Linked DNA regions of Saccharomyces cerevisiae S288C. The protein of the gene in region 2 purifies or fractionates together with the protein of the main gene of each other region. This does not show direct contact. Each region holds a gene or a part of one and is shown on either strand. Other genes may lie near its edges.

Evidence for each region. The genes of interacting proteins can lie anywhere in the genome.
Region 1: the proteins of CYB2 (region 2) and NDI1 purify together in Saccharomyces cerevisiae (affinity purification with mass spectrometry, with the first as the bait; one large-scale study listed by BioGRID). This does not show direct contact.

Annotation. Positions count from the first base shown.
Region 1 is NC_001145.3:27,766-31,653, reverse strand, and holds NDI1 (NADH-ubiquinone reductase (H(+)-translocating) NDI1), read left to right. Parts: upstream 1-1,846; coding exon 1,847-3,388; downstream 3,389-3,888. Other genes in the region: YML119W (uncharacterized protein), read right to left, coding at 1-1,043; Rag GTPase GTR1, read right to left, coding at 3,792-3,888.
Region 2 is NC_001145.3:165,033-170,325, forward strand, and holds CYB2 (L-lactate dehydrogenase (cytochrome)), read right to left. Parts: upstream 2,277-5,293; coding exon 501-2,276; downstream 1-500. Other genes in the region: signal peptidase complex subunit SPC2, read left to right, coding at 1-294; YML054C-A (uncharacterized protein), read right to left, coding at 2,591-2,749; YML053C (uncharacterized protein), read right to left, coding at 4,084-4,722. UniProt on the Saccharomyces cerevisiae protein: Catalyzes the oxidation of (S)-lactate (L-lactate) to pyruvate with subsequent transfer of electrons to cytochrome c. Is involved in the utilization of (S)-lactate as a sole source of carbon for growth.

The sequences.
Region 1 (3,888 bases), 140 kb from region 2:
GCAGGGAGGATTCTGTTGTTCGCACTTCTCTGCTGAAAGCTATCCTCCTCCTCATCTTCCTCATCTTCATCTGAAATGGCGATGCTAAAAGAATCTACCATTCGAAATATATCAGATCTATCCATTGCCTTTCCATCAAAACTCAATTCAAAGCTTTCGTTGGCATTTGTGGAAACACTGGCCCCGGCTCTCTGCTTCGCATTGGAATTAGGGAGATTCTTTACGGGCTTGCTGTTACCTTGCAGCTGCTTTTGTTGCCGTAACGTTGATGTCAGCTGCACTCCGCATAATTCGTCTAGTGATTTTGAGATCCGTGTCTTACTATTTGTGGACAATTGAATAGGTTGCAAGAAGTGATAGTTTTTCTCAAACTTCAACGAAATTAGCAGGATTATGATTTTTTTGGATATATCGTCTATCGTTTCGTGCACTGGAGATGGTAATTTATATGTGGTAACGACGGACCTAGGTAAGATGCACTTCTTGATGTTGAAATTTGTTTTTGATTTCGTGGGAGAATTCGTCAACTTAGGTGCCACACTAGTGCTACTTCTTGTACCATACAAATCAATTGGCTTGGTAAAATACCGTTTCTTTGTACACGTTCTGGAAGGAAAAATAATTTCATTTATGCTGCTCACTTCCTTCGTTTGATTGAATTTAAGAGATTTAGAATTTAAATGCGACACCGACTGATGATGCGGATGGGAATTTACATTGGTGTTTGCAGCGCCCATGGTATTTGTATATCTAGATGGCCTGTTATTATTACTGCTACCGCCCCCGGTATAATGGTCTTCATTAACTCCTTTATTAACCTGCGAAATACTGTTAAACCTTGGTCTCAGGTTTTTTGTGGGTGACTCTGGATAATAGAAAAACTGCTGGTTGGAATCGAAAGTCGCTTTTTGTTGGAAGCTCAGGACTGGCTGCTGATTCAAATTAAACTGCGTAGGAGGCAGGACCAGCCCACCGCTGTTATTGATGTAAGATGATTTGTTATTGAGCGTCCTTCTTGGCGACACTGATGGACTTGGGCTCATTGCTACCTACTTTTTTTCTTACTGACCTAAGGCTGCAGGTGCAAGAAAAGAGTAAAAGAATGTTAAAATACGTTTTGAAAGGTCTCTGTTTTCATGTACAATTGAGGGATAAAAAAATCTTTTCTTTCTTTCAATGCGGATGATTGACACTTTCTTATTTTGTGTTTTTATTTATGTTCTTTCCTAATCTGGAAAGCATATTAAAGACCGGCGCTACCCGGTTAAGTAATCATACACGTGAAAAGCACGTGAACAACAAAGCACTTTAAAACTCATATACTACGCATTTAAAGAATGCTAAAACGGCAATTGCCACTGGGCACCATTTAAAAGGTCAATAATGAATCTGTGACCTTTCTTTGCTATAGCATCACTACAACTATGTGTTGCTTGTCGCTAGCAACGAACCTATTATTCCTTCGCTTTATTGTCGAAGACCACAAAATACTCCAAAGCAATAGAATGTCTCTTTCCGCAAATAACTTACTCAGGGAAACAATACGAATATGTGCAGATTGCCGATCATTGCTGAAATGCCTCAAAAATATGCATTTTCTCATGACCTATTCATTCGGACCAATCATATGAAGGCATTGAACGTCCGGGTAACCACAATAAGAGTGCTCCCCCTTAGCGCTCTTGGTTATTGCCGGTATTTGCAACGTCGACAGGGTATATATAAGATGTATAGGGCATAGTGGGGAAGGAGTTTTAACTACCAATTGAGGAGTTTCAGGTAGGGTGTCAGTTTCATCACATCATCGAATTACACGTTTACCCAAGAGAAGAAACTAAAAACCACTATGCTATCGAAGAATTTGTATAGTAACAAGAGGTTGCTCACCTCGACGAATACGCTAGTCAGATTCGCTTCCACCAGATCCACAGGGGTGGAAAACTCCGGAGCAGGTCCTACATCTTTTAAGACCATGAAAGTCATTGACCCTCAGCACAGCGACAAACCAAACGTGCTGATACTGGGTTCGGGGTGGGGAGCTATTTCGTTTTTAAAGCACATTGACACCAAGAAGTACAACGTTTCCATCATCTCTCCTAGAAGCTATTTCTTATTTACGCCTTTGTTACCTTCTGCACCAGTTGGGACAGTAGACGAAAAGTCAATTATTGAGCCCATCGTTAATTTTGCTCTCAAGAAAAAGGGGAACGTTACCTACTATGAGGCAGAAGCCACCTCTATCAATCCCGACAGGAATACCGTTACCATAAAATCATTATCTGCCGTTAGCCAGCTATACCAACCTGAAAACCATCTAGGGCTGCATCAAGCAGAACCTGCTGAAATTAAGTACGATTATTTAATCAGTGCTGTAGGTGCGGAACCTAACACATTTGGTATTCCTGGGGTCACTGATTACGGTCATTTCCTGAAGGAAATTCCCAACTCTTTGGAAATAAGAAGAACTTTTGCCGCCAATCTAGAGAAGGCTAACTTATTGCCAAAGGGTGATCCCGAAAGAAGAAGACTACTGTCCATTGTCGTGGTTGGTGGTGGGCCTACTGGTGTAGAGGCCGCTGGTGAACTACAGGATTATGTTCACCAGGACCTGAGAAAGTTTCTCCCTGCATTGGCCGAAGAAGTCCAAATTCACTTGGTCGAAGCTCTGCCCATCGTTTTGAATATGTTTGAGAAAAAGCTTTCATCATACGCGCAATCACATTTAGAAAACACTTCGATCAAAGTACATCTGAGAACGGCTGTCGCCAAAGTTGAAGAAAAGCAATTGTTGGCAAAGACCAAACACGAAGACGGTAAAATAACCGAAGAAACTATTCCATACGGTACTTTGATTTGGGCCACGGGTAACAAGGCAAGACCGGTAATCACTGACCTTTTCAAGAAAATTCCTGAGCAAAACTCGTCCAAGAGAGGATTGGCAGTGAATGACTTTTTGCAGGTGAAAGGCAGCAACAACATTTTCGCCATTGGTGACAATGCATTTGCTGGGTTGCCACCAACCGCCCAAGTAGCGCACCAAGAGGCCGAATATTTGGCCAAGAATTTTGATAAAATGGCTCAAATACCAAATTTCCAAAAGAATCTATCTTCAAGAAAGGATAAAATTGATCTCTTGTTCGAGGAGAACAACTTTAAACCTTTCAAATACAACGATTTAGGTGCCTTAGCATACCTGGGATCCGAAAGGGCCATTGCAACCATACGTTCCGGTAAGAGAACATTTTACACCGGTGGTGGCTTAATGACCTTCTACTTATGGAGAATTTTGTACTTGTCCATGATTCTATCTGCAAGATCGAGATTAAAGGTCTTTTTCGACTGGATTAAATTAGCATTTTTCAAAAGAGACTTTTTTAAAGGATTATAGATGAAATTAACATGCCCTTTTCTGGAAAAAGGAAAAAAGGTGGTAGGCACCGTTTTTTCCTGAGTTTGCATCCTTTTTTTTCTAAAACCCTCTAAACAAAACCTAACACACACACACACGCACAAAAAAATGCACATGATGTTTTATTATTTATATATTCCCACTTTTTTCGAAATGATGCTTGACTAATGCACAAGCAAAAAACCCCGACAAGATTGGTTGATCACTTCAGCTTTTTCCTCCCATTGTCCTATATATATATCTGTGATTATTTATTTCTTCCTCTTATGTTTCTCTATTTATTTTATACGCCAAATCCCATTTGTATATACGTAACGAAAGCTTTATAATTCTTATGCCCCGCAAACACTCAATTGCCGAATGTTTCGTCTACTCACCTCAGTCATTGGAAAAACTCTTTGGCTTTTTTGATGTTTTCCAATACTAATTCTTGTGGAATATTCATATCTTTCAACACTATAAAACACACCATATTGGAC
Region 2 (5,293 bases):
CTCTCGCTACTTTTCTGGTATTTCTCTCGTTTTATTGAAAAGGGGACTGTTTATGTGGGAAAGAGAAGAGGTACAAAGGAGGAAATATATGTAAAGACAAAGTTCGAAAAGAACGAACCATTATATCTGGTTGAGCTTGTTCAGAAAAAAAAGGGAGAAAACTCCAAGAAGGAGTTGAAGGCAAAATTAGAAGTGAATAAGGTTTTTAATGAAAGTGGATATTTACAGAACGATGCGTATTTTAAGTGGTTCTCTGAACAGCACAATGTCCTCGACACCAAAAAAAATGAATAAATAATGTATAAAACATATAACTTTGCAAATGATTCAAAAATTCAAATTTTCTCTCTCTCTCTCTATAAACATAAATATATATGTGTATATGTTTTCTTTTTTTTTTTTTTTTTTTTTTGAATGATATTAAGTTATACGAATGTTCGATAATATATATGTATGAATAAATAAAAAGTTTTTAAAGTAGCCTTAAAGCTAGGCTATAATCATGCATCCTCAAATTCTGTTAAAGTAGGTCCCTCATAAACTTCATTATACAGCACGTCGTTTGGTACTCCAACTGTTCTTGCCTTTAGTGTTGATAGATCTAAAAGATCAGGCTTCAATTCCGCAATGCTAGTAACACCTAATAGTCTCATAGACATTTCAATTTCATCTCTTAAAATTTCAATGGCTTTTTCAACACCATTACGACCATAGCATGAGTTCGCATACAAGAATGGTCTACCCAAACCAACACCTTTAGCACCTAGACATAACGCTTTCAAGACATCTGTACCACGACGAACACCACCGTCCACGAAAACTTCCAACTTATCCTTCAAGTTACGTTGTTCCAGGATTGGCATGGTTTCAGCCAGGACTTCAATGGGAGCCCTTGAAAAATCTAATTGTCTACCACCATGATTGGATAGAACCACCCCACTTACACCGATTTCTGCTGCTTTGATAACATCTTCGGTACGTTGAACACCTTTGATAACAATAGGTAGTTTTGTCTTTTTCTTCAACTCTTCTATATCTTTCCAAGTCAAAGAGGGGTCAATAAACTTTGATAACGCTCTCGAAGCACCTTGAGATTCTTCTACATTAGTTTTCTTCATCGCTTTTGGACCAGCCTTTGTATTGGAAAATTTCAGCTTCATATCTTTTTCTCTTTGACCTAAACTTGGAGCATCCACAGTGACAAATAATGCCTTTACACCCAGCTTTTCTACATTTTTAACCAAATCATCAGTGATCTTTCTATCAGAGTTAACATATAGTTGGTACCATTGAATTTGTTTATCAGAGGGTGCTGCTTCAATAATTTCCTCAGGGGAACATGAAGCCAAAGTAGATATCATTTGTGGGACTTTTGTCACACCTTGGCCACAACCTCTGGCGACATCTTTTTCACCTTCTAAGGGGTTTCCCAGTTTACACAAAGCTGTAGCAGACACGTAGAAGGGAACATCCACATGAGAACCCAACATGTCAGTTGAAATGTCTACTTTGCGTACATCTACAAGGATCTTTGGTTTGAAAAAAATCCTATGATAAGCATTATGGTTTTCTCTGTGAGTAACTTCGTCGTTAGCACCGGAGGAATAGTAGGCCCACGCTTGTTTAGTCAAAGTTTGAGAGGCCAAGTATTCAAAGTCGTAAAGGTTAATAATATTATCTAGAGGAGGTAGCAGCGATTTTAGTTGTTCTTTTCTAGCGATATCTTCCTTAGTTTCACCAGGAGCATAAGGAGGACAGACAAGTTCAGGAGGCATGGATCCTTGAAGGGGACCCAATTTTTTCTCGGGAGCTATATACTTATCGATGACATTAGGAGCATGTAGTGGTTCAAAAATAGCAGTGACATCTTTCCCGGCGTTAAACTTGATAACATCCTGCCCACCTGGATGATTTGGTAGGAATCGCGTTAAGTCGTATACGTAACCATTGATCACAACCCAACAATCATCGGGCTTGTTATGCTTGGCAACTTCAGCGGGCGAAATCTTTTGTTTATTCATATCCAGTTTCGGCTCGTTGTCTATTTGGCCATTATGCCAGTTTAGATACGCCACGGAACTAGTAGCGGCTAGAATTGCACCGACTCTCAAGGCAGTCCATGACTGTGTGCGTTTTCTTGAGTCTTGTTCGAACGACTTGGATTTTGGAACGGTAGAACCGTACGCGCGGATTGTGTTCAATCTAGTCTTAGACGCTCTGAGGATAGCAGCCTCACAGTTCTTCGAGATTTTTAGTAAAGGTTTGTATTTTAGCATTGACTACTTTTGTTTGCTTTCTTCTCTATGCGGGAACTGTATTAGCGACATAGGATGTAAGAATACGAAAAGATGCAAGAAGATTAGTCGACCAGGTACTTATATATTCACATACTCCAACTGAAAGTATTGGAGATCTAAGGTTCAGCAGTTGGTTCTTGGCGGTTCTTGTATGACATTATTATTGGTCGGGTCGTAGTTCTCTCGAACAGGAGGAGGGGGCAAGGAGATATCGGCAGGCTTTTTGCTAGCGCCTTGTTTGAAAAGCGTGGGGGTAGGTCTCCAAGCGATTATTGAGGAAGTAGTTTCAAGTATTACAGAGTCCAGGGCACAAGGGTCTTCATTATAGAGAGAGAATTTTCGTGAAAAAAATGGGCAGAATGCCACATGTTAGCAATGCAACGACTTGAGTGGGGGGTGATCCTTCCGATGTATGCGTGAAAGATCTCGTGTTGTGCAGGAAAGGGAATCATTTCGGAAAAAAAAGATGCAACAAGGAGGATGGCATGTGGATACTACGTTCTTGCGTAATATCCTTTTTGTTGCCTGTGTTAATACGTGAGCAACATTTTTTGTTAAAGTAGGCGATCAACTATTGCCCCCTGATATTGGTAGTAATTCTGCTAAAATATCGGCTGAGAAATGGTGATTCTCAAATAATTGCTGGGATTCCACTGGATATGGCCCCATTCTTAGATATATGGAACGTAGTAGAAGGCCTCTTAGAGGCTATGGGAGTCTCTCAAGAGAAAATCGACATTTTTACGTAATCATTCGTTCATTTCACTTTATACGTCATGATTCAATATCGTATTACTTTATCAAGTACCCGCGTTTAAACTTCATTAAATGACTGCGTCTCAATCTTTATGTCATCCTCCCTCCGCAAGTGACAATGTACTGGTAAAATAAAAACTAACTAACTAGATGATATTTTTAGAGTTTTATTCCAACGTTTCTCAATAGGCGATGGAGGAACAGAGTGAATATAAGAGGCTCTGTGGATTTATGGTTACCGGATTTATTTCGTAAATTCTTATTGAAGAATGGGTGAATTTTGAGATAATCGTTGGGATTCCATTTTTAATAAGGCAATAATATTAGGTATGTAGAATGTACTAGAAGTTCTCCTCGAGGATTTAGGAATCCATAAAAGGGAATCTGCAATTCTACACAATTCTATAAATATTATTATCATCATTTTATATGTTAATATTCATTGATCCTATTACATTATCAATCCTTGCGTTTCAGCTTCCACTAATTTAGATGACTATTTCTCATCATTTGCGTCATCTTCTAACACCGTATATGATAATATACTAGTAACGTAAATACTAGTTAGTAGATGATAGTTGATTTTTATTCCAACACTTATATTCTATATATCCATAACATTGTCTACATATAATCCGAGAGGTTACGACAACATTCATATAATAAGGGTAGTACTGACACTTTATTTTGAAGTAAATCAAAATAGTCACTCTCGGTAGCCAAGTTGGTTTAAGGCGCAAGACTGTAATTTACCACTACGAAATCTTGAGATCGGGCGTTCGACTCGCCCCCGGGAGATATTTTTTTTCCCTTTTTCTCCAGGCCTAGTGAGGTTTGAGTTTTGAACGTTTTATAGATAGATGTAAGGTAGCCAGAATGAGCACTTAGCCTTTAAAGTAAATTGAGTAGAGATACGTAAACAGTCGTGATAAATATGTAATACATTGTATTATTTTAAATAGGTTAAATTTTCTTTTTTTTTTTTCCATTTCATTTTCATTTTCATTTCCTGCAGTTATTTTTTTTCTTATTAATCTATATCCATGTAATCGTTAGCGATATTGTTGTTAGTCAACGCGGCCATGGCAGTACCGGGTGCTTGTGATGCAATTATACTTTGGGATGGTAGAAGATGATACTGGTGTTGTATAATACTAGCACTTCCAGTAGGACTCGTGCCTGTTATGTCGCGATTAGTGTTACCGAAATAACCATGAATCATGTACTCTTCTGTTTCAGAATAAAATTCAGATTCGTTCAGTAAGCGGCTGTTCATAGTGTGGTGCATACTAACCGGTTTCAGGGGACATATTTCGATATTTTTTTTATAATGAATATTATTGTAGGTTGCAGTATTATTGCTGTTATTATGATTATGGTTATTATTATTATTATTGTTGTTGTTGTTGTTGTTGATGATGATGTTGTTGTTGTTGTTATTAAGATTAGCACACCCGGAACCGACCGAAAACTTTGTACTTACAGAATCTCGTTTTGTTCTCTTCGATCTTTGGTAGAAAGTGTGTGTATCAAACTCGAAATGGTCATTTTTTCTTTTATTCATGATCGTATCATTATTGGCGTCGCTGTTGTATGTAGTGGCGGCATTGCTACCGGAATTGCAATTGTTTGTTTGGAACGCAGTATTGTGTTCATAGTATGAGAGCATTTCACGCAGCACACTTGAGTCTTAAATTAATGAATAAAAGCAGCCAACCCCAAGAAAAAAGAGCCCTTATCTGTTTCTGTCGCAGTCCTATTGTATTCTTCCTAACTATATAATTTTGTCAAAATGAAAAATATAAAAAAAATAATAAAGTCAGCTGAGTGGTAAAGAGAAAGCAAAGGGAGAGAAAAATCGGTTACCCAGATGGATTAGGTTACCCAGATGTCATACGTGTATCATGATTTCTAGAAATTATTACCCTGTTTGGTACCATGACAACGGATATGGCAATCTTGCATTAAGTAAAATGTCTCTAATGGGACCGTGAAGGTACAAAACAGCAATGGTCTAGGTAGTGGCATTCGAAGCTTCGAAAGCGTGGCCTCGCCTCGAGCGTGAAGTCATATTTTCTCACTCTGCACTGCCGTGCTGTGCCATGTAGCCCACTGTATGCCTCTAGCACCCCAATCGGGAAAATTGTAAACATTAGCAGGTGTCGCCTCGAGGCCCCCGATACATTTTTCAACATCTCCTCGATACTTAAACAGCAAACAAACAAGCAACACCCACGCAA